Linked DNA regions of Rattus norvegicus. The protein of the gene in region 3 purifies or fractionates together with the protein of the main gene of each other region. This does not show direct contact. Links are inferred from orthologs where the notes say so. Each region holds a gene or a part of one and is shown on either strand. Other genes may lie near its edges.

What was found.
Region 1: the proteins of Bcl7a (region 3) and Smarcb1 purify together in Homo sapiens (affinity purification with mass spectrometry; 7 studies listed by BioGRID and IntAct, counting the BioPlex papers as one, with this or other methods). This does not show direct contact. The link is inferred for Rattus norvegicus from reciprocal best matches to the Homo sapiens genes BCL7A and SMARCB1.
Region 2: the proteins of Bcl7a (region 3) and Smarcd3 purify together in Homo sapiens (affinity purification with mass spectrometry; 4 studies listed by BioGRID and IntAct, counting the BioPlex papers as one, with this or other methods). This does not show direct contact. The link is inferred for Rattus norvegicus from reciprocal best matches to the Homo sapiens genes BCL7A and SMARCD3.
Region 4: the proteins of Bcl7a (region 3) and Pbrm1 purify together in Homo sapiens (affinity purification with mass spectrometry; 3 studies listed by BioGRID and IntAct, counting the BioPlex papers as one, with this or other methods). This does not show direct contact. The link is inferred for Rattus norvegicus from reciprocal best matches to the Homo sapiens genes BCL7A and PBRM1.
Region 5: the proteins of Bcl7a (region 3) and Smarcd2 purify together in Homo sapiens (affinity purification with mass spectrometry; 5 studies listed by BioGRID and IntAct, counting the BioPlex papers as one, with this or other methods). This does not show direct contact. The link is inferred for Rattus norvegicus from reciprocal best matches to the Homo sapiens genes BCL7A and SMARCD2.
Region 6: the proteins of Bcl7a (region 3) and Smarcd1 purify together in Homo sapiens (affinity purification with mass spectrometry; 5 studies listed by BioGRID and IntAct, counting the BioPlex papers as one, with this or other methods). This does not show direct contact. The link is inferred for Rattus norvegicus from reciprocal best matches to the Homo sapiens genes BCL7A and SMARCD1.
Region 7: the proteins of Bcl7a (region 3) and Phf10 purify together in Homo sapiens (affinity purification with mass spectrometry; 3 studies listed by BioGRID and IntAct, counting the BioPlex papers as one, with this or other methods). This does not show direct contact. The link is inferred for Rattus norvegicus from reciprocal best matches to the Homo sapiens genes BCL7A and PHF10.

What each region holds. Positions count from the first base shown.
Region 1 is NC_086038.1:12,739,496-12,743,747, forward strand, and holds the start of Smarcb1 (SWI/SNF-related matrix-associated actin-dependent regulator of chromatin subfamily B member 1), read left to right. Parts: upstream 1-1,452; 5' UTR 1,453-1,648; coding exon 1,649-1,741; intron 1,742-4,252.
Region 2 is NC_086022.1:11,461,944-11,466,126, forward strand, and holds the start of Smarcd3 (SWI/SNF-related matrix-associated actin-dependent regulator of chromatin subfamily D member 3), read left to right. Parts: upstream 1-1,332; 5' UTR 1,333-1,463; coding exon 1,464-1,541; intron 1,542-4,183. UniProt on the Homo sapiens protein: Involved in transcriptional activation and repression of select genes by chromatin remodeling (alteration of DNA-nucleosome topology).
Region 3 is NC_086030.1:38,877,223-38,880,860, reverse strand, and holds part of Bcl7a (B-cell CLL/lymphoma 7 protein family member A), read left to right. Parts: intron 1-3,162; coding exon 3,163-3,284; intron 3,285-3,638.
Region 4 is NC_086034.1:6,313,816-6,316,905, forward strand, and holds part of Pbrm1 (polybromo 1), read left to right. Parts: intron 1-908; coding exon 909-979; intron 980-1,096; coding exon 1,097-1,313; intron 1,314-2,613; coding exon 2,614-2,786; 3' UTR 2,787-3,090. UniProt on the Homo sapiens protein: Involved in transcriptional activation and repression of select genes by chromatin remodeling (alteration of DNA-nucleosome topology). Required for the stability of the SWI/SNF chromatin remodeling complex SWI/SNF-B (PBAF).
Region 5 is NC_086028.1:91,696,156-91,699,476, reverse strand, and holds part of Smarcd2 (SWI/SNF-related matrix-associated actin-dependent regulator of chromatin subfamily D member 2), read left to right. Parts: intron 1-1,681; coding exon 1,682-1,866; intron 1,867-1,998; coding exon 1,999-2,041; intron 2,042-2,165; coding exon 2,166-2,288; intron 2,289-2,483; coding exon 2,484-2,639; intron 2,640-3,034; coding exon 3,035-3,130; intron 3,131-3,258; coding exon 3,259-3,321. UniProt on the Homo sapiens protein: Involved in transcriptional activation and repression of select genes by chromatin remodeling (alteration of DNA-nucleosome topology).
Region 6 is NC_086025.1:132,707,456-132,711,560, forward strand, and holds the start of Smarcd1 (SWI/SNF-related matrix-associated actin-dependent regulator of chromatin subfamily D member 1), read left to right. Parts: upstream 1-1,171; 5' UTR 1,172-1,176; coding exon 1,177-1,353; intron 1,354-1,403; exon of another isoform or gene 1,404-1,578; intron 1,579-1,990; coding exon 1,991-2,178; intron 2,179-2,469; coding exon 2,470-2,512; intron 2,513-2,610; coding exon 2,611-2,733; intron 2,734-3,168; coding exon 3,169-3,291; intron 3,292-4,105. UniProt on the Homo sapiens protein: Involved in transcriptional activation and repression of select genes by chromatin remodeling (alteration of DNA-nucleosome topology).
Region 7 is NC_086019.1:64,638,824-64,643,228, forward strand, and holds the start of Phf10 (PHD finger protein 10), read right to left. Parts: upstream 2,845-4,405; coding exon 2,761-2,844; intron 991-2,760; coding exon 884-990; intron 1-883. UniProt on the Homo sapiens protein: Involved in transcription activity regulation by chromatin remodeling. Belongs to the neural progenitors-specific chromatin remodeling complex (npBAF complex) and is required for the proliferation of neural progenitors.

The DNA.
Region 1 (4,252 bases), on a different chromosome or scaffold from region 3:
TCCAAAGCAGTAGTCATTTTATCCGATCGTGCCTAATTACCTGGGGGAAGGGATGGTCTCACACATCATGTCCTGGAACTCACGGAGGTCTGCCTGCCTAGGATTCTGGAGTTCTGGGATTAAAAGTGTGAACCACCATGCCTGGCCCTTAACACTCTGGTTCCCGTGGCTGTGAGGACAGTTGGGCAAACTCCTGGTTACCACGGCCCTTCCTAGTTAACATCTCCTTCCTAAGGACCCTAGTCACAACTATGGTCTCATTAGGCTGACCCTTATGAAACTGGCCAGTTTGATTTCCACTTTCTTAAAGGTATTTATATTTTGTACATCCTCCCCCTCCCATACCCCACTTCCCCTATCCCCCCTCCCTCTCCTGTTAGTCCCTTTGCTCCCATACACAATGTCACTTTTCTTTCATGTTCTGTGTAGTACATATTTTATGAATCTATGTGAAATCTAGAAAGCACAAAGGAGAGAAAACCTATTTGTCTTTCTCAGACTGGCTTGATTTAATACGATTATCTCCAGTTGCATCCATTTTCCTGAAAACGATTTCGTTTTGGGGGCTGAAAAAATAATTCCGTCGTGTACACACATTTCACTCTTTTTGCTTTATTTTATTTTATTTTTTTCTGAGACAGTTTCTCTACCTACCCCTGGCTGTCCTGAAACTCACTGTGTAGACTTGCCTATAACTCACAGAAATCCTCCTGTCTCTGCCTCCCGAGTGCTGGGGCTAGCCACGACACCCTGCCTAGATTACATTTTCTTCAACCATTCTTCTACCTAGGCTGGGCTATAACTTAAGCTATTGTAATAGCGCTACAATAAACATTACTTAAACATTTTGGAGTCAAGGCTCTGTTCAACAGAGGGTGGACTGCTTGGACACTTTCCAGAAGCTCTGTCTTGCCTCGGGGCTGTTAAGGCCCAAGGCCGGCAGAGGCACAGAACAGGACTGGGCTTGTGGGCACCAAGCTTGCAGAGGTAAGGAAGGAAGGCAAGTGTCTCTTCCCGGTCACCTGGCACATTATATAGATCTTTGAATAGTACCAACCTCCATCCAGTACTGTTATTCTTCCCATCCCTACTGCCTCGGGAATAGCTGTGGGCCTGCAGCGGATAGCTAGCTATTCCTAGCGCACCTTCGGGTGGAGAACCTGGCCGGCCTGGGGTCGCCATGCCCACCCCGCTCCAGATGGAGCGGTTCTTCTCCCCGCTTAACATCTCATTTATTCCCTTCATCCCAGGGCGGAGTGCCATCTCAGGCTGTGCCACTAGAAAAGCCACCGCCTGAGTCAGGACCTCAGTGGCTATTTCTGTCGCTGAGAAGTTTCCCTCCATACCCGCCTGGAAGCAAAAGAAGCTCGGGTCCCTTTAAGGGCCTGCGGGAACGCGCTCGCGCAGGCGGCGGCGCGCACGTTAGCGTCAGCACCCCCACGCGCATGCGCACGGAGGGAGGCCTGCTCTTCGCAGAGACGGCTTAAGAACCTAGTAGTGACGCGAGCGCCTTCCCGGTTTGCCCGGCTCGCCCTGTCCGTCCTTCACCTCCCGGCCTCCGTTCCTTTCGGTCCGACGCGCCTCGGCCCCGCCCCAGCCCACCGGATTCTTTCCAGCTCGACCCCGGCTGCCAGTTTCCCCCGCCGCCATGATGATGATGGCGTTGAGCAAGACCTTCGGGCAGAAGCCCGTCAAGTTTCAGCTGGAGGACGACGGGGAGTTCTACATGATCGGCTCCGAGGTAGCCCGCGGCGCGTTCTCGGCTTCCCGAGCAGCGGCTGGCCGGCTCGAATCCCGGGGCGGGCCAGTGCTCCCCGAGTGCGCGCCTCCATTCATCGCGGAGGCGGGCTCGTGCTCGCAGCTGGGGCGTGGCCTGGTGGGCGTGGCCTCTAGGTTTCCTTACCCACTTAACATCCGACCCTAAGCATCTGCCCTAGCTTAGAGCTTAGAGCATCGAGCCGGTTCACTCTAGGCAAATGGAAAAAGGATGTTTGGGAAGCCCCTGGGTGCTTGGAGGTGCAGTACTGCCCTTGAGCCCTTCGGCAGCTCTCGTGCACCCCACTGCCATGGTCTTGAAACCTCTAGTTGTAAGCCTGAGGCTTAGGAAAACCTCCTCCCCTTTGTGTCCTTGTTTCTGTGGTGGAGTGCAGTAGCATAAGTTTTATGATGTGTAGAAAGTGATTGGAGGAGGATGTTTGCTTTTGAGTGGTTGAGGCCCCAAGGCCAGAAGCACTAACATTTTGGAGATCTGTGAACTGATTTTGAGTCTTTATAGGGGATAAATCTAAGGATCGCTAACCCATAACTCATAACTAGAAGAGACAGCCCCTGTTCAGTTAAGTGGACATAGTTCCTTAGGTTCGCTCTTGTGTGTTGCTACCCCTTTCATAGGGCTCCCACATCAGATATCCCGCATATAAGATAGTGACATTATGATTTGTAACTCTAGCAGAATTATAGTTATGAAGTAGCAACGGGAGAATTTTATGGTGAGGGGTCATCACAACATGAGAAACTGTATTAAAGGGTCACAGCATTAGGAAGGCTGAGAACCACTGTCTTAGAAAAACCCTACAATTAGACCTACAGACCAGCCAAATGTATGAAGTTTCTTTTCTTTCTTTTTTAAAACAGATTGTCTCAAACTAGCTTTCTTCCATCTAAGGGCAACCGCCAACCAGTTTATGTCTCCACTCCCCCCTTCTCTTTGAGACAAGATCTCATTGTGTGACCCTGGCTGGTTTGCAACTCCCCTTTGAGACCTGGCTAACCTTGAACTCACAGAAATCCACCTGCCTCTGCCTCTCAAATGCTGGGATCAAAGCACTTGGTGCCACCACATCCCGTTTATGTTTCCTTTTCTTTCTTTCTTTTTCTTTATTGTTTTTTTTTGTTTTTGTTTTTGTTTTGTTTTTGTATTTTAAGCTGTGGGTGGCCAAGCACTAGGCTGCACCTTTAACCTGAACACTCCAGAGGTAGAATAGAGGGTGAGTTTGAGTCCAGCCTGGTCTACGTAGTCTCAAAAGAAAAAAAAAAAACCATAAAATTCCAATATGTGAAATTTTTTTTCTTTTCTTTTTTTCGGAGCTGGGGGCCTTGCGCTTGCTAGACAAGCGCTCTACCACTGAGCTAAATCCCCAACCCCTCAATATGTGAATATTAACCAGTAGACATATAGCATGTGTAAGGAGGTAGGGCCCACCCTAGAGAGCTAACTAATGCCATTTCAAACTGCCAGCAGTTACCTCCTGGCAGCTGTTGAGTGTCTTATACTCCATTAGGGTGTTGGTTGAATCAGGTAGTGGGACCAGTATTGTCAGAAACATCTAGACTTAGCATTTCTGCTTTCACTTTTTTCCATTAAACAAAAAGTGCAGGCTGCCATGACTGTTCCCACCATCACCTCTGCTACTGTTCCAAGGTGGCAGTGCTGGGGACGTGCAGTCAGGGCCCGGCCATCTCCTGTGGCTCGGAAGGGTGCTGGTTGGCCAGTAGGCATTTGTGCAAATGCAAGGTCAGTACATAAGGAACAATCTATGCAGGAGAATTTGTTGAAAGACGCTTCCCTGAACTGACCAGTGAAAGAGTAAATCTGGCCTGAGCTCTAAGAGGCTGGGGGTAGTTTTGAAAAGAAAATACGTATCTGGTGGAGCAATTGAGAGACAGCTCCTGGTCATGTGGGAAGAACCTCGGGACAGCTTGCTGTGCCTCCTTACCCTCTCGCCACTCTCTTCTCCTGCCTTCCTCAGTTCTCATGCTGGGGAGCCCTGAGCCTTTGCGCACTGAACACGTGTTCTTGCACTGAGTACTCTTGACCGGTTTTATTTTTCTCATGCATCCGAGATGTTTAAACTGGAAATACATGTCTCTTGAGGTAATTGTCATCGAATGTTTTCGGTTTTAGAAGTCCAACCACAGCCTCCTTTTGGGCTCTTGACTCTTTGCCTTCCCAGTTGAATGAGAATAGTTATCCCCAAGACCAAAATGGGTGGTTTCTCACTCCTTGGAGCCTGGCTTTGATTTTGGGAAGAGCACAGGGTCATATAGTATTTTCTGTCTGCAGTATTGTCTGGATGATGGATTCAGTTTTAGACAGATGGGACAGATGCAGCACACTAGCAGTGTCTCTGACCTCTGTGGAGCTGCTTTGGGAGGACGTCTGCAGCGGATATGACTATGTCCCTGTCATCCTGTCATTTGCCACAGGAGTCACAGGACTTTGAAGAAATGAATGCCCAAGTCCAGAATCTTT
Region 2 (4,183 bases), on a different chromosome or scaffold from region 3:
GAGGGCGCAAATTGTAATCTGTTCCCACAAGTTCCCTCAGGCATTGCCCCTCCCTCAGTCCCACCCCCAGCTAGCCCATTAACGTGACCCTTGGTTGTCTCAAAGCTCGGGGACTCCTCCTCCTGAAGGTGTGGACAGGCGTGGCTTGTGGCATGGGCGGGGCTTGGGCTCAACCTAGGGATTTCAGGATCTGCCCCCTCCTTTCTGTTCTTCCTCCCCTCCGGGATTGGCCAGTTCTCTCCACACTGTCCCATTTGGGGTTTCTTCATCTTCATACACCACACTCCTGCTTTCTTTTTGGTTCTGGGGCGGACTTCACGAACCCCAGACTCTGCGTCTCCACGCCAAGCCATCAAGCCCTGTTTGCCTCACCCTTTCCTCCTACCCACCCAAGTACCCACCCTGGATCCGCGCCATTCCTCACAATGTACTCCTCCTGTTCTCATGAGCCCAATCCATGTCCCCCTTTCGGAAATACTTCCCCTATTGCCCTCACTTTCTCACACAGAGTCAAACAAAGACTCACGAGCCCAGAAATAAACTCCCACAGAGCTGAAAGACACGGGCCGTGTCCTGCTCCGCACGCACGCGCGCAAGCTCGGCGGCTCTTGTGGAGGGAAGCACACCGACGGGGCGTTTGTCAGTGCACGCACATAAACATCCACACCCACAGCCTCTGCGCCGTGCCACAAAAGGGTGCAGACACACGGTGTGCGAGACAAGGGCACACACATCTGCGGGCGCCCAGGAGCCCGCCTAGCCCGGCACACCCACCGCGGCTGGCCCTGGGACAGGAGCAAGGCCTGCTCCGGGCTCGGGCTCCCCCCAGATTCCTTGCAGCAAATGTTTCCCTACTTGGCCTGCCTGGTCCCTGGGGAAAGGGCCTCAGAAATGCGGCAGGAGCCACTTGGGGAAAGAAAGTTGGAACTGCCTGTTCCCTGCCTGGCCCTGTCGGCGAATTCCCTAACCGAGAAACTATTTGTGGCGAGGGCAGGGTGGCTAGCGAGCCCCCTGTCACCTCCCATGGTGTCCCCTCCCCGTGCCACCACCGATGGGCCCCGGGCGGCCTGGGCGCAGCTGAGCTGCCCATCGCGCAGCCTCCGGGCAGATCGGCTCGTCTCGCCGCTTCTGTGCGCCGCTTGGACCACGCGGAGTGCACGGAAGGGCCGCTCTGTCCCCGGCGCGTCGCAGGCAGACCCCGGGCCGCCGGACTATTTCTGTCTTATCAGTGCAGGAATGCGGCAGCCGCGGCGGCGGCGGCGGCGGCGGCGGGCGGGCGGCGGCGGCGTGGGCCGTGGGCCGTCAGGGCAGCCCTGAAGGGGCCCCCTCCCCACTCCGCTCGAGTAGAAGTGTGAGAGAGCCCAGCAGGACTCAGAGGGGAGAGTTGGAGGAAAAAAAAGGCAGAAAAGGGAAAGAAAGAGGAAGAGAGAGAGAGAGTGAGAGGAGCCGCTGAGCCCACCCCGATGGCCGCGGACGAAGTTGCCGGAGGGGCGCGCAAAGCCACGAAAAGCAAACTTTTTGAGTTTCTGGTCCATGGGGTGGTGAGTGGGGGAAAGTTAGCGGGGGAGGGTGAGCGAGCTGGCTCGGGCTGAATGGAGGGATGATCGGGAGGGGCCGCCGGCGCGCTCCCGCTCTCCCACCCCTTTGGTTGGGGGGCGCACGGTCACGGCCCAACCCTGGGACCTTGCCGGCGCCCTGGCATCCGAACACGTCGCCAAGCGGTCGGCTGGGGATGGGCGCGCGGCGGCTGGGAAGAGAGGCGTCGGCTTGGGTTCTTATCAGGGGCAAGGGGTGGGATGTGGGCACCGTGTCTCCCCCAAGAGGGGGGTCCCCTCAGTAACTGACATATCTCACATTCTTTTACTGGTGGGCTCAGGTGTTACCCCTGCCCTGGGGGTGGGGGTGGGGTGGTGATTCGAACACACAGCTAGGGCTGGGCTGCCTGTTGTCCCTGTTCATCCTTTGGGACAGGGTCACTCTGATTAGGTCTGAAGAACTAAGAGCAGGTGACCCTGAAGGCACCTAAGAGCCAAAGCTCTCTGGCTGAGCAACCCCTGCATCCTAGCAGGAGGGCCTTGAGTACTTGGCCCCGATGTCAGAGCTGAGAGAGGCCTACTTGAGAGACCCCAAGTTAAGCAGTCAGAGGACCTCCTTGGCAGGCTCAGCCACCAGAAAGTTGATGACCTTAACACCTCAAAGGTGTGAGGGAGGGGCTGGAGTTGGGGACATGAGGCCTAGAGACCAAAGGGATAAGACTATACTTACTGTTCTAACACCGACACACCGACACACACACACACACACACACACATACAGACACACACACACACACACACACACACACACACACACACACACACACACGAAGAGTCTGAGGGTACTCAGGGACCTAATGAGGTAGACACTTGAATTCAGTTAGCAGACAGAGCGCCTGGCTATGAGGAGCTCCAAGCCTGGGCACATGGAGGGAAGAATCAGTCAGATTCACTATGATCAAATTTGGTTGTGACCCCTGGAAGCACCTTTTCAGTGAGAGAGGCAAGGGCCCCCAGAATCTGACCTCTATGAGGGGGTACTAATGGCAGGCCTCTGGGATCCCCTAGAAGGCTTCTCCTCAGGGCCTCTCAGTAGACCAGACAGTATCAGTGGCCTTGATGAATAGGAGAGCAGTTGATAGGGAAGAGGGCTTCTCTGTGGCAGCCTGTTCTAGCCTTAGGGATATCTGGGGTGTAATTTCCAAGACAGCCCTGTGGACTAGTGGAGTTACCAGTCCTGACCTGGCTGCTTGAGTAGTCGCTTGAAAGAGTACGACCCCATGAAGAATTAATTGAATATGGCCACCTTGGAGGTTCAGTTCTTGGATGATGATTAGGGCCCCCTCTATAGTCATGAAGGGTGGCTAGGCCTGAGCTTCTACCCTGGTGGCATTGGTGCTGTGAGTGACAGAGCCAGGTGGAGTGGGGGTGGCAGATTCAGGGACAGGCCAGTTTCACTGCAGAAGAGATGAGCAGAGACAGCTGCTGGCTATGGGTGGAGACCTTAGGGGTAAGCAGTGTAAGAGGAGAAAGGAAGCCTGGGAGTTAGGGTTAAGGCTTCTTAGTCTGGGGGCAAGATGAGGGCGTGCGTGCCTGCCTGCGTGCCTGCGTGCTCGAGGGCGCATGCGCATGGTCTTCAGTAGCCCAAGCTGGCCTCAAATTCACTATATATCAGTACTTGACTTCCTGCCTCCACCTCAATATTGGGATTACAAGTGTGTGCTATCATGTGCAGTTTATTTGATACTGGGGATCGAACCCAGGTCTCCACATGTGTTGCACAAGCCCTGTACCAAGCTACATCCCTAGCCTGAGATGGGGGTGTTTAAATAGGGTTTTCATACCTCTCTCCCTAATACCCTTCCTGTTCTTCTGAACTCGTCCCACCTCCTGACTAGTCCCAAAACCTCAGCCCCCTTCCTGGGCTTGGACAAGTGAAATCTGTAACACTTCACTCACATTGGCATCTCCTCTGTTTTGATTGACTGAGTAGAGGTGGTGGCCGGGGAAAATCAATCTGCCTCATTTCCCTCCAATTTCTACCCTTCCTGGGATTGGGTGGGGAATGGGTTGACTCTTATGTGATCAGATGGGAGAGGGAATGAATGCTGCTACAGATGCTGCTTCCTTCAACCGTCCCTGCACTGGCAGCCCACTTCTAGTCCAGTTCCCCACTTGCCACTAGGCAGAGTCTGATGACACCAGACCCTCAGGTGCCCTTGCCTCTTGTATCACCTTGGGAGAAATGACATTAAAGAGGCAGGCTAAGTCGGTGGGTGTGGAGACCTGGAGTTAGCTGAACCAGTTATGTTTGAGATTGAGGTGCCAAAGCCGGGGGCTCTGAAAGGGAGATGGGGGCTCAAGTACAAAGCACATCAGCCCCAGAAGTGGGGTGTGGAAATTGGGAAATGAGAAATGAGGACAGGAAATCAGCCCCTCACCGCAGCGAAGCAGCGGGGAGCAGGGCCGGTCAGGTGCTGCCTTTGCCGGGAAGAGCAGGGTGACCTTGGCGAGGTCGCTTTTTTCTTTGAGCCCCAGTTGCCCCATCTGTCAAGTGGGGATGAAAAGACCTGCTCTGACTGGCTCGCAGAGAGCCGTACGGATATGAACATCCTTTGAAAGGTTGAAAGGCGCCATTAATATTCATT
Region 3 (3,638 bases):
GCCCTCAGGCCTGGCTCTCAAGGAAGCCTCGAGCCTGGGCATGCCTCTGCCAGCAAACGGGCATCGTGATTCTCCAAATCTCTGGTGACTGACTGCCCGAGAGCGGTAAACCCTCCCGTGCGTGCCCAGTGCGTGTGGGAAACAAACTGAAACTGCCCGCAGAGGCAGACACCAATGAAGCAGACTTTTTAGTTGAACTGTTAGTTAAAGCAAACAAATGCACTATGAAATAGAATACAAAGTTACATGGGCCCCCACGCCCACCCCCTTCCTTCTTTTCTGCTTTGCAAGCAGAGTATCATGTAGCAGCAGCAAAGGCTGGTCTTGAACTTCTGATGTCTATGTCCCAAGTGCTTCCATGTCCAACTTTTTTTTTTTTGTCCCACCCCACCCCCGCCCCTCCATTTTCTTTAAGGAAGGGAATTACTATATTACTATGTAACCCTACTGGCCTGAAACTCTCTGAGATCCTCCTGCTTCTGCCTCCTGAGTGCTAGAATTGAAAGCGTGCCGCCGTACCTGGCCCTCTAACATTTCTCTTCTTTTTTTTTTTTTTTTTTTTTTTGTTCTTTTTTTCGGAGCTGGGGACCGAACCCAGGGCCTTGCGCTTCCTAGGCAAGCGCTCTACCACTGAGCTAAATCCCCAACCCCTAACATTTCTCTTCTTAAAAAATGCTATGTGTATAAGTGTTTGCCTTAGCCACATATGTGCGCCATGTGTATGCCTCAAAGGCCAGGAGAAGGTGTTAGATCCCCTGGAAGTGACATTTCGGATGATTTTGAGCCACCCTGTGGCCCCTGGGAACCAAACCCAGGTCCTCTGCAAGAGCAGCCAGTGCTCTTGACTGGTATCTAGGATATTCTGTCATTTCTGTGTAGTTCCAGAACATTTTCCTCAGTCCATAAAAAATACTGCCCACACTGTACAGTCCCTCTCTGCCTTCCTTCACCATTTCCTTATAATGACCAGTCCGCTGCATGCGTGTGTGCGTGCGTGCGTGCTTACGCGTGTGCGTGCTGGAGCGCTGACCTGTTGTAGGCATTTCACATAAAGAACATCATGTGTCTTGGCTTCAAGAACCTTGTCAAGACAGGTTCTGCCCTGTTTCCGCTGCTGTGCTGTATCCTCCAGGGTGGCTGGCCCCTAAGTTTCTAGCCAGTCTCCTGTCTTCACCTCCCATCTCACGAGTGCTGGGATTACAGTCGTGTGCTACCCCGTCCTGATTTTCACACGGGTTCTAGGGAACAAATTTGGGGTTTTTGGCTTTTGTGGCTCACATGGGTTTTTTCCCCTAGGGAACAAATCTGGTTTTTAGGCTTTCATGGCTGTACTGTCACCCCTGAGCCATCTCCCTGACACTCCTTTGTTCCTTTTTATGACTGGGTAATATCTATTATAATACTATCTGGCTGTTCCCACTGCTGAATTCACCATTGTGAACAGTGTGGCATTTGTATTCAAGATTCTGGTCTCTGGACCAGAAAGTAAAATTGCTGGGTCTTGACAGGTGGGGGTGGCAATTACCTTTAATCCCAACACTCTGGAGGCAGAGACAGGTGGATCTCTGAGTTCAAGGACAGCCTGATCTATAGAGCAAGTTCCAGGCTAGTTAGGGCTACACAGAGGGGAGAAAAAAAACCCAGTCATATGTAAGTTCTTGAGGAAGGGCAAGAGGGAAAACTGAGGCCATACAAGTAACCCAAGCGATTAGTATCGTCAGATAAACAATTGCTTCACATGATGCTGTTCAGCCAGGTTGTAAACTCTCGTGTGTAGAGGATTTGTAAAGATAGGCAGATGTCTGTGACGTCACCATTTAGAGAGATAGGAAGTCCGTAGGCACATGAGGGAGCAATCTAGAAAGGTAGAACAGAGTCCTTTAAAATGCTGGCATCTTAGGGGCTGGGGATTTAGCTCAGTGGTAGAGCGCTTTCCTAGGAAGCGCAAGGCCCTGGGTTCGGTCCCCAGCTCCGAAAAAGAACCAAAAAAAAAAAAATGCTGGCATCTTAGAGGTGTGAGGTATCAGTTAACGTGAGTGTAGCTATGCTTTTGTTTTCCTCTGTGGTTAGCCATTGCTCGAGTCACTTAGACTCATCCTTATTGTTAAGAGAAAAGTTGGGCCCGGGATATAGTTCATTTGATAGAGAACTCACCCAGGGCTGGCATGCCGGAAGCCCTGGGTTTGAACCTCACCATCAAATAAACTGGCTTTGGCAGTGTGCACCTGTGGATCCCAGCACTCAGGAGGCAGAGTCCATAGGCCCCAAAGTTCAAGGTTATCCTCAGCTTCTAAAAGAGTCTGAGGCTGGCCTCGGATATTTGAGACCCGTCTTAAAAGAAAAAGGCAGGGGGCTGGGGGAGATGGCTCATCAGGTAAAGGTGCCTGCCAACTTGAGTTCAGTCACCAGAACTCACATGGTAGGAGAGAACTGACTCCATCGTGTGGTCCTCTCACCTCCATATACGAACTGTTGCAAGCACATATACTAAATAAACAAATGGGAGTTGTTGTTGTTGTTGTTTTTTAAAGAATTAAAGACTGGAGAGATTTCTCAACTGTTAAGAGCGTTGGCTGCCCTTGCAGAGGACCCAAGTTTCGTTCCCAGCAAGCGCTCGGTGACTCAGAACCATCTGTGTAACTCCGTTTCCAGGAGATCAGACGCAGGCAACAGGCACACATGTGGTGCCCAGACATACATGCAAGCGCTACACCCGTCCACATAAAATAAAAATAAGAAACTCTTGGGAACGCTTGTTTTCCGCTCCCTCTGCTGTTAGGAGAATGCTGGTTCTCTTCAAAAGCCCAATGAAGTCTCTGCGGCCATGACTTCCCCCGCCGGAGCCAGGTGGCAGCCATGATTGCTGTAGTGCTTGGTGCCCAGCAGAGGGCGCCAGACACTGGCAGCATTATGCGCTTAGTAGCCCTCCCTCTTCCTTCTCCAGGCAGAGGGTCGGAGACCCACAGAACCCACTTGTGGCCTGGCTCCTTATAACTGTCTGGCTAGTTGATACATCGAAACTTCCCAAGCTTTGGTCCAATCGAGCTCTGGAAGCCCCTGGCCACAAAACTCCCCAGATCTGGGTATTTTTAGTACCTGGCCCATCTGCTGCAGCTTCTCATGTGTCTGAAAACAGCTTCTGTTGTCTTGCTTCTCGCTCAGATGCTTCTGACGAGCAAAACTCCCAGTCTTCGATGGAAAACTCAACGAACAGCTCAGAGAAAGCGGAACGGCAGCCATCTGCAGAGTCAGGGCTGGCGGCAGAAACATCGGCAATCTCTCAGGTACCTGCCGTCCCGCCTCAGTGGGTGGGGCTGGGGTTCTCCACGGTGCGTTGAGAGTCATGCTGCTTCCTGTTGGACTGTTAGAACGCTGTTCGTCCATTGAGCAGCAGCTCAGAGTTTAAGCCTACACCACCTGGGACCACGGTGATGGGAGGGATGTGTGGTCCTGCGTCAAGAGTCCTCTGGCGTAGAGGATGTGGAGTCTTGTCTTTCTAATCTCAGCTTGGTGATGGTGTGGCGTTTGGGTCCATCAGAACATCTCATCCCAGTGAGCCCACATCCTAAGGTTAAGGAAGACATAACCTCAGAAACCTAAAGGCCGGATTACTCTTTGGAATTTTGCATGCGATGGAG
Region 4 (3,090 bases), on a different chromosome or scaffold from region 3:
CGGGTGCGAGCTAACACGCACAGCAACACATCAGCATTTTAGACAGGAGCAGAAGACCAGGAAGCAGGCTCCTCCTAGTACAGATCACTGCTGAACAGGACTTAGGCTTTAAAGAACAGCTTAAAAGGAATTGGTTGTGGTTTGTTAGTTTAGTAGGCTGAGTCTCTTGGCTATTTTGTTTTGTTATAATAGCAAACAGATAGCCCTGAGATGAAAATTGTCTTAAAGACTAAATTTGGGACATTTTACTGTTATCAACTATGAGACAGCAATTGCTCATCAACATTTACCCAAGGAAGTTTACTGAGTGATTACCAGAGAGAAAAGGGCCACAACGTCTTTCTTTTTTCCTTTGTCATTTGGAATCTGAGGTAATGGCAACAAGGCTACTCCACTGCTTCCACATCATCCACTGAAATGCCTTCTCTCTGCCAACGTTAGTGCCTGGGGTAGAGCCGGCTGGTGCCCTACAGAGGCACATTAAGGAGGCCTCCAGCCTCCGCAGGGTTCAGATAACTGTTCTTCCTCAGCCCTTGTTTCCTATCCCAGTACAATAGTTCCTGCTCAGCCCGGTCCCACAGGCTCCAATGGTCAGAAGGGTGTATGGTCAGAAGACAACAGAAGTGCATTCTAACTGTGGTTCACTCACCTACAGTTTCATGTGGGCTTTAAAACAATCCACGCCGGGAATAATTAATGCACCTCTGACAGTGTACTATATGTTTAAGAAACCAGAAACAGAAGGATATAAATTCCCTAATTAGATTCCGACTAGGGTGCTTACAGCTCCTATTCACACTCGAGGACAAAGGTACAGAGGCTGGCATTATAAATGGCACCAGCTCTTGTCAGTTATCAGTCAGCAAAACCCAGAGCCTCTAATTGTGCCATTGCATTCTGAATTATAGGTGTGATGAATCAAGGAGTCACCCCCATGGTAGGGACTCCGGCACCAGGTGGAAGTCCATATGGACAACAGGTAAGCCTCCTCGTTTAATTTTCTTTCCATGGGCTCGAGATGCTTTAGGCCTCTGCTTTCTCAGAACATGTGTCGATTATCTTTTTGACAAGATCATCTAATCCCATGCTCTTTCAGGTAGGAGTTTTGGGACCTCCAGGGCAGCAGGCACCACCTCCATATCCTGGTCCTCATCCAACTGGCCCCCCTGTCATACAGCAGCCAACAACACCCATGTTTGTGGCTCCCCCACCAAAGACCCAAAGGCTTCTCCACTCAGAGGCCTACCTGAAATACATTGAAGGACTCAGTGCTGAATCCAACAGCATCAGCAAGTGGGACCAAACTCTGGCAGGTAGGAGGGTCTTGTTGAAATGCATGTTTTCTCCCAGTCCTCTCACTGCTGCAAGCTCTTTTTCTTGTAAAGGGAAATAAACTATATATTTCATAGAATAGATGTGGGCTTCTTTGCATAGTGACCCAGCAAAAATGGGTTTAAAAAAATATCAAAGCTCAGTCATATCCTATTACCACCTTCTCAGATACCTTCTGATTCCCTTTTCAGGTTGTTGGTTTGTCCCCGTCCCCCCACCCCCCAGATATTTGAACATAGAATACATGTCAAATTTTAAAACGGGAAACCTGGAAAGTTTAGTCTACCAAGCTGCTCATTTAGCTGAATAGGGAATGTGTCTAACATGGTGTTACCTAGTTTCTCACGGAAATTGGAAGCTTATTCATGTTTAAAAATAAATTTGTGAGGGGCTGGGGATTTAGCTCAGTGGTATAGCGCTTACCTAGGAAGCGCAAGGCCCTGGGTTCGGTCCCCAGCTCCGAAAAAAAAAAAAAAGAACCAAAAATAAATTTGTGGGGTTGGGGTTTTAGCTCAGTGGTAGATAGGCAAGCGCAAGACCCTGGGTTTGGTCCCCAGATCCGAAAAAAAGAAAAAGAAAAAAAAAAATGTGTGTGTTTGTGGTCAAGCACACATGTGCTTTGGTAGCACGGATGACAGAAGACAGCTTTCAGGAATCAGTTTTACCTTCTACCGCATTGGAACAGGCTGGGTCCTTTACGTATGCTGCTGCAGTGTTTACTTACTGTAGGCCAACTGCCCCTTAACTCTGGGCATTGCTCATGTCTCAGACTGCCATCTTGCCTTAGAAGTTAGGACTCCTGAGACCAGCACCACATCTGCCTCTGTGTGGAGTAAGGGATGGCTGTCGTCTGACCTGTGCAATGAGAACGTCTGTGCACTGAGCTGTCTCCCTGATCCTGGATGGAGTTTTCATTTTTGTTGTTTGGCTTACGTTGAGAACTAGCTCTTAGTCTTAGAACACTGAAGAAACTGTTAATATCAGGGTTGTCTAGAAAAGAGTGTTAGTGGTCAGATATCAATGCTTAATAAGCTTTGCTATGATTGTAATTTATATCACATTTTCATAACTTTAATAAATATTGTTTTGTTTTAGTATAAATACATCAACCCTTAAAACTGGGGTCATTTTATCATCCTAAAATTCTAATGTCTGGGGGTTGGGGATTTAGCTCAGTGGTAGAGCGCTTGCCTAGCAAGCGCAAGGCCCTGGGTTCGGTCCCCAGCTCCGAAAAAAAAGAAAAAAAAAATCCTAATGTCTGTTTATATTTCAAATTTTCAGCTCGAAGACGGGATGTCCATTTGTCAAAAGAACAGGAGAGCCGCCTACCTTCTCACTGGCTCAAAAGTAAAGGGGCACACACCACCATGGCAGATGCCCTCTGGCGCCTGCGGGATTTAATGCTTCGAGACACTCTCAACATCCGACAGGCATACAACCTAGAAAATGTTTAATGGCGTTACTGTTTCTTCTATGGAAGCAAAGAGTTGTGGAGCGGTAGCCATTTTAGTTACTGGGGTGGGAGGGAGGAACAAAGGATGATAATTTTTATTGCATTTTACTGTACATCACACAGCCATTTTTATATAAGGACACTTTTAATAAGCTATTTCAAATTTGGTTTTGTTACATTAAGTTGACTATCAAATACACAAAAGATTTTTTTTGCATATGTTTCCTTTGTTTAAAACCAGTTTCATAATTGGTTATATATAGTAATAGTTTTATCTTTACTTGTTAAAGGACTTTAATCATCAA
Region 5 (3,321 bases), on a different chromosome or scaffold from region 3:
TGAAGCCCAAGCCCCAGAAGTGGGGAACAGATGTCTGGGTGGGGCCTATTCCAGGCCTGCCTGGGCTGCCTTGCGGGGGGATTTCCTGGAGGGCTCAGCAGTGCTATAGGCTTTATGAACCTTGGTGGAGAGCTTTTGGGGGACCAGAGCGCCTCAGATATATCTGCAGTAACTCTAGGGAACCCTCAAGTCTGGGTGATGATGGGGTCTTAGAGCTTCGGCCACCTGAGGCTTTTCTTTTGTCCCCTCCCCCCTTCTATAATCTCTGGCTCTGGCTTATTAGAGCAGAGAAACAGGCTGTCTTCTGCCTTTCAACAGCTTTGATGAATTTCTTCCTGATGAGGAGAGACTTGTGGCAGGACTCCCAAGGTCCCAGGGTCTCCCACTTTTAACTCCTCAATTGCCACTGTATCCTTGCTCTGCTCCTATCCCCTTTCCCTTGTCTCTGGGTCGTGTTTCTTCCCCTCCCTCTGCTACTGGTCATGAGTCTGACTCCTTAGTGCCAGATAAAGAAGTCGCAGAGACTCATCTTCAGGATGCTTGGGTGTGGGGGTTAGGGGGTGGGCCTTTAACTTGGTATGAATCTCCACCCAGGCTGGCCTGGTTGTCTGGTTGTACTGATTGATTGCATAACCTGGGCCCCGGGGGCCAGGCCTGTGAAGCTGCCAGGGACAGTGTGTGCAAGGCAGAGCTGCCAAACAGGCCTTTCAGGCAGCAGCTATGTGCATGGAGCTGGGAGGTGGAGGGCTCCCAGAAAGGTTGGAAAACTGGGCCTTGGATGGGAAGTCAAGAAGCTACTCGTGTCACCCAGATTGTTGCTGTGACTCTGTGTCCTTCCATCCCAGACAGTCTTAGTCTGCAGTTTGGGCTGGCTAGGGTTAAGTCGGACCAGCAGCAGCCTGGCTGCCAGGTGGTGCCGAGACCATGGGCAGAGGCCAGATGTTTGCTGTTCTCATTCCCATAGGCCACCCAAGAACCATAATTTCCCTTTTTGAGGGTCTTTTGACATAGAGATAGGGGCATGGCAATGGGGGGGGGGGGGCAACAACGGGTTCAGGTTTTGTAGGGGCCATATGGTGACCAGATGGTGTCTATACTCTCCTGAGGCCATCCCCACAAGTTGTGACATAGCAAAGCCATACATTATACTGCTCACCTGAGGTGCTGCTGCCTAATGGTTTGCCATCCCTACTGCCTTTCTTCCCGTCATGCCACCAGGCACAGGCTGTTTACATCCTCCCGGACTCCCCTGGTTGCTGTTGCTATGCATTGCCTCTGGTCTCCCGAGTAATGTTTTTCCTTCAGGATGGGGAAAGGAAGAAGGGGTGTCTAGGGGCTATCTAGGGACTCTATAAATACCTTGAAGCTGGCCGATCCCAGGGTGCAGGACATAGCATATTGGAGCTGGAAAGGTGTTGATAAGTCCTAAAAAATTCCCCAGGTCCTGCCTTCTGCAAGAGGCACTCTCCTCCCGCCCATGGACTCCGGCTGCCTCATTTGTTGGCACGGCTGCCAGGGCGGTTGCAGGGGCGGGGCAGGTGTGGTTTACACGCTGGGCTCAGGCGCCTGTTCCCCTTTGTTCCTGGTCTCCCCGTGTGAGAGGGAGATGGAGGGTATGGGCTATGGACCTCGTAGGGCTCTCCCACTGACCTGTGCCCCTCCACTGTTCCACTTTCCCCAGCGACCTGGCATGTCCCCAGGAAGTAGGATGCCCATGGCTGGCTTGCAGGTGGGACCTCCGGCTGGTTCCCCATTTGGCACAGCTGCTCCACTTCGACCTGGCATGCCACCTACCATGATGGATCCATTCCGAAAACGCCTGCTTGTGCCTCAGGCCCAGCCCCCGATGCCTGCCCAGCGCCGAGGGTAAGACCTTGCCTGTCTCGTCTCTGGTGGTAACCTTGACCACAAGGAGACTCTTGGCAATTTGGGAGAGGGTTTTGAAGATAGTGAGTTTGGACTGTTAAATTCTTAAATGGGTTTCTGTTTTCCTACTAGGTTAAAGAGGAGGAAGATGGCAGATAAGGTTCTACCTCAGCGAGTAAGTGTGTTACGGAGGCCTGCCCAGGTCTGGCTGGCCAGGGTGGGGGTCCTGGAGTGAGCAAGGAGGGAGAGTGTTAGAAGTAGAGCTGGTGAAGCAAGCCATTGGATTTCTCAACCTGCAGATCCGGGAGCTTGTCCCAGAGTCTCAGGCATACATGGATCTTTTAGCTTTCGAGAGGAAGCTGGACCAGACCATCGCTCGCAAGCGGATGGAGATCCAAGAGGCCATCAAGAAGCCTCTGACGGTATATACTACCCCAAGTTCTCCCAAACTATTTTTCCTCCCTGGCCTTGTTTTCCAGGGAAGAGCTTGGGCTTGAGCAGTACTTCTCACACAGGGAGCCATCCATCCACTAGAGCGCACTCAGTTTCGCATGCGTTGAGGTGGTGTCTTGCTACAAATGGCTACTCACTCAGTCCTGCCTCTTCTTCCTCTTTAGCAAAAGCGAAAACTTCGGATCTATATTTCCAATACATTCAGTCCCAGCAAGGCAGATGGTGATAATTCAGGAACTGCAGGGACCCCTGGGGGAACCCCAGCAGCAGACAAGGTGGCCTCCTGGGAGCTTCGAGTAGAGGGAAAACTTCTGGATGATGTGAGTTGGGAAAAGAGGTATTGGGAGGGAGAAGGCGTGTGTGAACTTAGACCATGGACAGACATGAGCGTCTTTATGAAGTCCGAGCCTAGGGAAAGGGTAGATCTACCCAGTTAGAGGTTAGACTTGCTGGTGGGGTTGTTGTTTCTGTGCTGGGGATCAAAGCCTGGACCTCACACATAATATACTGGTCCAGAGTGAACATCTGTAGTTACTGCACTACAACTTTCCTGTAGATGGCAGTCAAGGGTCTTGGATTCACTCCCTGATTGGCTGGCAGTGGGGTTCATGAAGAGCCCTTTTCCTGCCACTTTGCCCACACATTGATGCCGACTCGTTTCTTCTGATGAATAAATTCAGCAGCACACTCGTCTTACATAGCTCTTTCCTCTCAGCCTAGCAAACAGAAGAGGAAGTTCTCCTCATTCTTTAAGAGCCTTGTTATCGAGTTGGACAAGGAGCTGTATGGGCCTGACAACCATCTGGTGGAGGTAAGAGTGGTTCTAGAGTCTGGGAGGGACAAGCTGTCAGGGGGTACAGCGCATGACATCAGTGTGCTGCTGGCAGAGTGCTGTAGCCCATCTGCTAGCGATGAACTCTGCGTTCTCTTGCCTGACAGTGGCATCGGATGCCCACCACTCAGGAAACAGATGGCTTTCAGGTGAAACGGCCAGGAGATCTC
Region 6 (4,105 bases), on a different chromosome or scaffold from region 3:
GAACAGCTCTGTAAACCAGGCTGGCCTCGAACTCACAGAGATCCTCCTACCTCCCAAACGCTAGGATTAAAGGTATGAGCTGCCAGCACCCTGCACTCTGGGTGTTAACCTTTAGATCGGAGCTTGCCTTGAGGGCCACACAACTAAAGAAATTTGGGTGGTAGTCTGGTGTGGTGGTTCCACCTCTAATTCCAGCGCATAGGAGATGGAGCAGCTGTTTTCCATCACACAGTGAGTTTAACGCTAGACCAGGCTATTCGAGACCCTACATACTTGATCAGGTAAAAACACTGATCCACCTGGAAAAGAACAAATTCAGGAATCCTCTGTTCCCTAGGCAGTGGACCAGCAAAGTAATCTAAAGCAACAGATATCCGGGTCTCTTTGGAGAAGATTCAAGGTAAAAGAATTCATTAAAATCTGAAGTTAAAGGTCTGAGGTGAAGGGCTAAGTTCCCGTGCCGGGGAGCTGTTAAGCCATTATTTATTTATTTATTTATTTATTTATTTATTTTTTTTTTTTTTTTTTGGAGCTGGGGACCGAACCCAGGGCCTTGCGCTTCCTAGGCAAGCGCTCTACCACTGAGCTAAATCCCCAACCCCTTAAGCCATTATTTATAAGATGAGGCCCTGGCTACCAGCCAGGAGACCCGAATCCAGGATGGCTTTTCTCTTATCTCGATTTGTCTTTGCCACGACATTCACCTCCTTTGAGTTCAGCTTTTCCGTTTGTAAAACGAACAAACAGCCTGTTTCCCTCTTTAGCATCCGGAGTCTGATCCGTAGGAAAACAAAAAGCAAACCAACCAGAATGCTTTGGAGAGGTAAACGCACTGGGCCGAGGTGAAGCATCACTCCAGCCGCCTGCGGGGTGGGCTGGGCTCTTTGCAAGGCCTTGACGTCCTCCAACCGCCCGGGGGCGCTCGCTCCCGGCACTTCTTTATCAGCACACCGCCTCTCTATGGTGCTCCCTCCTGGCCCGTGAAGGCGGGAGGGAGTGGTCAGCACGCCTTTCCCGCTAGTCGCCCCCTCTAGCCCGTAGTCTCGCTGCCCCGAGCCGCCCGTGCCCGCCGGCGGGCCGGGCCCACAAACAGCCCAGGCGCTCGGGGGGCGCGCGGGGGGCGGGGGGAGTTCCGGTTCCGGTTCTTTGTGCAGCTGCAGCGGCGGCTCCGGGAAGATGGCGGCCCGGGCGGGTTTCCAGTCCGTGGCTCCGAGCGGCGGCGCGGGAGCCTCAGGAGGAGCGGGCGTGGCGGCTGCTCTGGGCCCGGGCGGAACTCCCGGGCCTCCCGTGCGAATGGGCCCGGCGCCGGGTCAAGGGCTGTACCGCTCTCCGATGCCCGGGGCGGCCTATCCGGTGAGTGGGACAGGAGGAGGGGCGCGCGGGCCGGGGGCGGGGCCGAGCGAGGGCGGAGGACTGACAGGGGTGAGGGAGAAGTGGGAGGGACTCCCTAGGGAGGGGCTCGGGCCGGGAGTGGAGGTGGGGGAAACTGAGCGGAGGAAGAGTGGGGGGAAGGAGGTTAGCATCCTTACCTGCTCCCAGCGGCATTGTTTCCGTGTGAGGAGCGAGTGTGGAACCAGGGTGGGTGAAGTGGGCCCTGGGATGGGCATGGGATGCAGAGGGGAATGGGCAGCCCCAGTGTCTCCAGGAACACCCAAGCTATTGCAGCAAATTGAGGTCAGCCTTAGAGGAGACAGCAGCTAGTTTAAAAAAAGAAAAAAGTAGGACTAGAAATGTCTGATGAGTCAGATCCAGCATAGATCAGAAAATTCAAGTATAATCTAGTTTTTAGACTATATTCCATTAAATCACTAGTAGGCCTGAAGAAGCTCCAGTTACCATATTTCAAAGAAGCAAAGGATTGTCTTGTCCTCCACTCTACCCACCCCCCAGCCCTACCCCATCCCTGAAATCCAGCCTTCCACCACTTTTCCTTCCTTGGTGGGGCTAGCATGGAAAAATATGACATCTCTTGGTCCTCTCCCTTCTGTAGAGACCAGGTATGCTGCCAGGCAGCCGAATGACACCTCAGGGACCTTCCATGGGACCTCCTGGCTATGGGGGGAACCCTTCAGTCCGACCTGGCCTGGCCCAGTCAGGGATGGACCAATCCCGCAAGAGACCTGCACCTCAACAGATCCAGCAGGTCCAGCAGCAGGCGGTCCAAAATCGAAATCACAAGTAAGATGCCCCCTGGGGTGAAGGAAAGACGGGGATGGGAGGAGGCCTGTGAGGATGCTGATGCTGGGAGTCCCCAGGAAGTCAGGCGCTGCAGTATCAAATGGTGCTGCAGGGACTCACCCTTTTGAAGGCTCTCTGGCCTCGTGATGAAGTGGAGTTTTTGTGGTACTGGGAGATGGAGAGTCATCCCGTAGGCCGTAGTAGCTGTACCATAAATGGAGGTGCTCACAGCGATGCTCATGTTTTGACTAGTTCCTATCCCAACCTGATAACAGTATTTATTCTGAACAGTGCAAAGAAAAAGAAGATGGCTGACAAAATCCTACCTCAGAGGGTGAGTGCAGCAGCTGTAGAGGCCTTCCTGAAGGGGTAGTGGCTTTGAGAATAGAGGTGGTCAGCTCTAGGGCCTGACCCTATCTTTCTGTTCCTAAGATTCGGGAATTGGTACCGGAATCACAGGCCTACATGGATCTCCTGGCTTTTGAAAGGAAACTGGACCAGACTATTATGAGGAAACGCCTGGATATCCAGGAGGCCTTGAAGCGGCCCATCAAGGTACCAGGAGAGTACCAGAGGGTCACAGGAGGGAGCCAGGACGCTCCACCAAGCTTAGGAAGAAAACCCAAAGGCACAGCACATCTCTCTTTGGCATTTAAACTGCATCTTTCCCTTCTGCCTGCAAACCAGGAATTACATCAGGAGCATAGGAGTGGGGCGGCTGGCAAGGAGAGGGGGGGCTTCCCACTCTCTTCAGCAGAAACACACCCTGTCCTTGTTTTTGCTCCTCGCTACCTTGGGAACCTGCCACTTTGCACGACTTTGTCTCCCTGGCACCCTGGCACATTTACTCAGGCCCAAGTCAGGGCCTGTTTGCTCCTCAGTGGAGTCCTTATCCATCTACAAAGCCAGCCTGGTAGGAGTGACCTGGGAGCTTTAGGGAACCTTGTGCTCTTGAAGCCCCACGGTCAATCCTGTTTCTGCCTTCCTCAGCAAAAACGGAAGCTGCGGATTTTCATTTCTAACACATTCAATCCGGCTAAGTCGGATGCCGAGGACGGGGAAGGGACTGTGGCTTCCTGGGAGCTCCGGGTAGAAGGACGGCTCCTGGAGGATGTGAGTTCAGGGTCCATGGTGGTTGGTGCTCAGGGTGGGAGCTGTTGGGAAGGAGCAGTGCTGTGTGGTCAGCAGGAAACCTGACTGGTGTTCACCACTCCTGCTGGGAGCTTCCGGAAGGGGGTTGGGGGTGCTGTGTTCCCTGCCTACAAAGACAATGGTCCTTTGTGCCTACTCTCACAGCTTCTCTGGTATCAAGTGGAAACCTTTGTTGCTCTGGGGTCTGGGTTGTTGTTTACTTTGCCTGGTGATGCTGCCCTTCGGATTTCAGTGCTCACTTATCCCCACCACCATCTGTGCTTAGTGTTTGAGCCCATGTTTCCTCCCTTAGGTCCTTGAGGTTATTTCTGTCTTCCCAGGTTTCATTGGAGGCACCACAGTTTAAGTACGATAGCCCCCCCAAAGGCTTGGCTCTTTGTTGCTCATCAGACTAATGAGCACCCCAGACTCTCCACCCAGCAGCTCATTGGGGAGGCTCGCCGTTCCCTCAGAGCTCTGCACTCTGACACTTTTAAACTGTGTGCAAGTGAGCTCGTCTGATGCACTTTTGCTGGGGAACCGAGCTGCCTCTGGGTAGGTCCAGGCTATTTGCTGGTCATGTGTTCTGTCCAGAGAAAGGCAGGTTTTGTTCCCCTGCCTCTGGCCTGGGATTCATTTGCCCTCTGCTGTCAGGCTTTCCTCTGCTCAGATGTGCTTTGTTGTGCTAGCGGTTTGGCTTAACTTGAAGTCAGAGATCCTGTCCTTGTTACTGTGCTCCTGGGACCAGGACTGACTCAGTGGCCACCTGGCCATAACCAGAAGATACTTCAAGGGT
Region 7 (4,405 bases), on a different chromosome or scaffold from region 3:
ACCAAAAACAATGTTGCAAGGTGTATTACTGGTGGGAATGCAGAATGGTGGTACCACTGGAAATGTATGGAAGGTCCTTATAAAAGCTGAACACAGAATTACCATATGGTACAGCTTTCCACTTCTAGCTATATACCAGGGTACTAAGAGCAAGGGTTCTGAACGCCAGTGTTCACTTCAGCATTAATTACCCCAGCCTGCAGGCATACACAGGAATAAGCAAAATGTAGCAGCACATACAGTGGAATATCGTTCAGACTTCAGGACCTCCAACACAGATGAACCTTGAAGATAATATGGTTAGGGATAGGCACTGTATGGTTCACAGTCAGGGGCAGGAAGGAGAACTTAGTTGGTAACCAACCAGCAGCAGGGGGCAGGAAGGAACAGGAGGTACTGGGGGGTTCTGCAGTTTCACTACTGAAGTTTTGAAAAGGGGTGAGAGTGATGGTTGCACAATATTGTAAATGTAATTAATGCCACTGAACTATACTTCTTATATATAAAAAGTGTTACGATGGCTGTATTTTATGTACCTATTTTATCGTTTGTTTTTTTTAATAGTTCTCAGGAGCAAGACCAACTTCGATATTATATTATATGACTCTTTTTTAAAGATTTGTTTGTTTGCTTGCTTTGTGTATATGTGTACAAACATCTGTGGAGGACAGAATGGAACATCAGCGCCTCTGGAGCTTACAGGAGACTGGGGGAGGTGGGTGCTGGTAACCAATCTCCAGTTAGACAAGCATTCTTAACTTCTGAGCCATCTCTCCAGCCCATACATATAATTTTTAATAACTTTTCATGCTGCCTGGGATAGGAAAGAAGAAGTGAGCAAACAGTTTACAGAAGTCACTACTGAGCCTTAAAGCAGCAGTACCTAAGATCTTGACTTGAAGTCTCGCAACTTCTTGAACTATCCCCTGAACCCATTCGTCTTCTTTTAGATGGATGACCCCCATCATTTGAGTTATCTTCATTATCATCCTGTACATTAAAAAAATGGAAAATGTTAAAATGAATTAAAAACAAAGAGTGATTCTGTATCATTCCAGTCTGCCTAAATATCAACAAGAGAAAGCACATTTCTACCTAGTGTCCTTAGAAAACTTAATTTTAGAATAATTAAAAGGACAGAGAATTTGTTATAAGAAATGGAATAAATCTAAAAACTGACCTTCAATCTAAACAAAATTGATTTTCAACTATATTTTAAATGTACTCTGCTTTCATTTTCTTACCAACTAGGTTGTGTTCAAATGTCTTCTGCTTTTTAATAGCAAAACCACTTTAAAATCAAAGTAAGCCTTCCTATTTGAGCTGGGAAATAAATACTAACAAATTTTGTAGCACACTTCCATTTACAACTGGCCTACCAGATCACATTCTAATTAGCTACTTTGCAGATGAAGGACTGGACACAGGTTACCAAGTCTAACTACATTCTTTTTCTTCTATAGCAGAAATTCAGCACATTGTGATAAGCTCATAGAAGATATAAGTTGTTGAGCCATTCCATTAAGGAAAGAAGTAGTCAAATGTTTTTAAAATAATTCATTTACATATTGCTCATGGCTTCAGCTCATAGTTCTTTAAATCAAGGTACTATAGCTCTTAACACTACTAATCTTACTATATATTTCAATAAGGACCCGCGAAAGAAAATAAAAAGGAAGCACAGGCCAGCACGTCAGGTCAGCATGCCACTGTGGGCTGCCTGGAGTCGTATGGAGCAGCTGTCCACCAGCTGTGTGGTAACCTGCCAGCTTCTCCCTGTCTGAAAGCCTAGGTGGCTGATGCAAGGATTCAGTGAAGTGATACATGAGCACATGAAGAGCAAGGGCTAGTGCATAACTGATATATGTTAACGTTGAGGTTAGCAGTGATTTTACATTTCACTATGTCTCTAGCACCTAGGAATTTACTAAAATTATTTTTCAAATTAAAAAAAAAGAAACCATTCTCCTTTTCACTCATCAAAAATGAAGTCAAGTAAACAAACTTAATATTCCTTTTTAAAACTAAAAAACAAGTTGAAAGATAATATTTAATATTTAATTTTTCACAGTACTCATATTCCATACTTGCTTGACAAGGTTCATTTTAAGCTCTGAAGCATTTTAAGCGCTATTTTACTAATTTGTGAATATTTTAAAGATTTCTGTTTAAAAACGCTTTTAGTTAAAAACAATGATCCATTCGAAAAGAAACAATAATGGAAGTTGACACAGAGTTTAACAGCTCACAACCGTATGAATTCTAAGGGCTACGTTCCAGGTAAGGCCCTCTTCTCTGCAAGGTCCTCAGTCGGGGCCAGGAGCCAGCAGCCCCCGGGCGCTGCTCTGACTCGGGCCCGGCCACAGTGAGGTTCACAGGGGAGCAGACAGAGGCCCCGCGGGGAGGGACGGGCACGTGGACGGGTCACTTCGGCTGGCCGAGTCTGTGGGTGTGAACCCACGTTCTGCCAACTCGGGACCACGAGCGCACGCCCCGCTCAGCGTCTCCTGGACTTGAGATCCCAAAAGGCCGCAACTTTTCTGACTTCCCCAGGCTGCGGGCGCTCCGTCTCAACCACTCTTCGCGAGTCTTCCGGTCCCTACTACTCCCCGACAACTTCCCACCCGCCGCGCAGGTCTCCCTGAGGTCCGCGCCCACCGTTCGCCGCACTTGTTGCTTGGGGACCCGCCGTCCTGTCCCCACTGCGCTCCCGAACCCGGCCCGGGCCGCTGCAGCCGTTGGGCAGCGCGCTCCGCTCACCTTCGGGGACTGCGCTCCGGGGGAGGCCGGGTCGCTGTCGCACCGCCGCGGGGACAGCGCCGCCCCGGGCCCGGCCGCTGCCATCAGCCCCAGCGCCCCGCGCCTCCGTCGTCGTCGCCGCCGTCGCCTAGTCCCAGCCGCCGCCGCCGCCGCTGCCGCCGCTGTCGCGCGGGCCGCCCGGCGCCCCGGCCCCGCCCCCTCCGCCCGCCCGCCCGGGGGCCGGCCCCTGCCGCCGCGCGCCCCGCGGCCCGCCAGCGCCACCGCCATGGCCGCCAGCGCGCCGCCGGCCGGGACCCGCACGCCGCTCACGTCAGCCGGCTGCAGCTGCGCGGCTCTACGGGCCTGGGCCGGGGCCCGCCGCCTTGCCGCCTTCACCCGGCCCGCCGCGCCCGGCCTGAGCTCCGCTGGCCAGCTGCCGCCTTGGCCCGGGCCCCGGCCCGACCCGGGTTCCTGGCCGCCTGGCGAGCTCGCCGCCGCCCCTTCCCTGCGCCCCCAGCCCGGCCCTTCGCGTCAGCCGCGGCTCCGCGCCGCCCCGCCCCGCCGCGGTCCCGCCCCCTCCCCTCCTCCGCCGCGCGTCAGCCGGGGGTCCTCAGTCGGCGGCGGCTGCCTAGTCCCCACCTGGGTCGCCAGCTCCTCCCGTGAAAGATGGGTCCCTACCACGCGTGTCCTCCAACCCCCACCCCTACACACACACACACACACCGGTGCCCAGCTCCTCCCCTCAGCCAGGGGTCTCCACCACGCTGTCTCTTCCCGCCCCCACCCCGAATCAAGGGTCCCCGCTACGTGGTATCCTCCCACCACCGGTCCCAGCCCCTCCCCTCAGCCTGGGGTCCCCACACCCGCGGCCACCTTCCCCTTCTCCACCAGTGTCTGCGCTCCCTTCTGTAACTGAAGGATTTGAGTCCTCAGTCTACTTCCTCCTCTCTCCTCAGCCCTGAGGGTCAACCACCCCAGGAGCTCCGCCTCCTCTCTCCTTGAGATCCCCTCTCCTGTAGTGCCTTTTCCCCACCCCGCCATCTTCACTCCGCACACCTCTGGGTCCCCAAGGCGCCCTTGGCTCCTTTGTTCTACATTTGCCACTCCCGAAACCTAGGTGTAGTGGCCACGAGAAAAGTCAGAGCAGCACTCTGGCTGAACAGGACCCAATCAGGCAAGAACATAGAGAAGGTCCCCCAAACCATATGACAGTGTCAGAAAACATAATCACCTGCAGGACACAGGATTGGGAATCCCTGGGAAATGAAAGCCAGTGTGCTTGGATTTATATTGATCCTAGTTCTTAGACTTCGCCTTTTGAAAGGCCGGACCCCACCCTTTGAAAGGAGCACCAGGAAGACAACAGGTCCAATAGACAAAGGCAAGGGACAGAGAAGCACCCCTATGCTCCCCAGCCCCCATCCACAACACTCCCCACAACTCTTCCAAGAATGTACAGGACCAGATCAGAAAAGATGATCTAGCTCTTGGATTTCAGAATTTGAGTTCCCTTTCATGGCCAGGACTTCTAGCTCCTGACAATAAACCCAGCATTTTCTCCTCACATGAAATATAGTGTGTCCACATGAAAGATAGAGCTGTCACCTACACAAGGCAGAGGTGAAGGGAATGCCTGCCATAGAGCAGGATGTCTGCATTATAGATC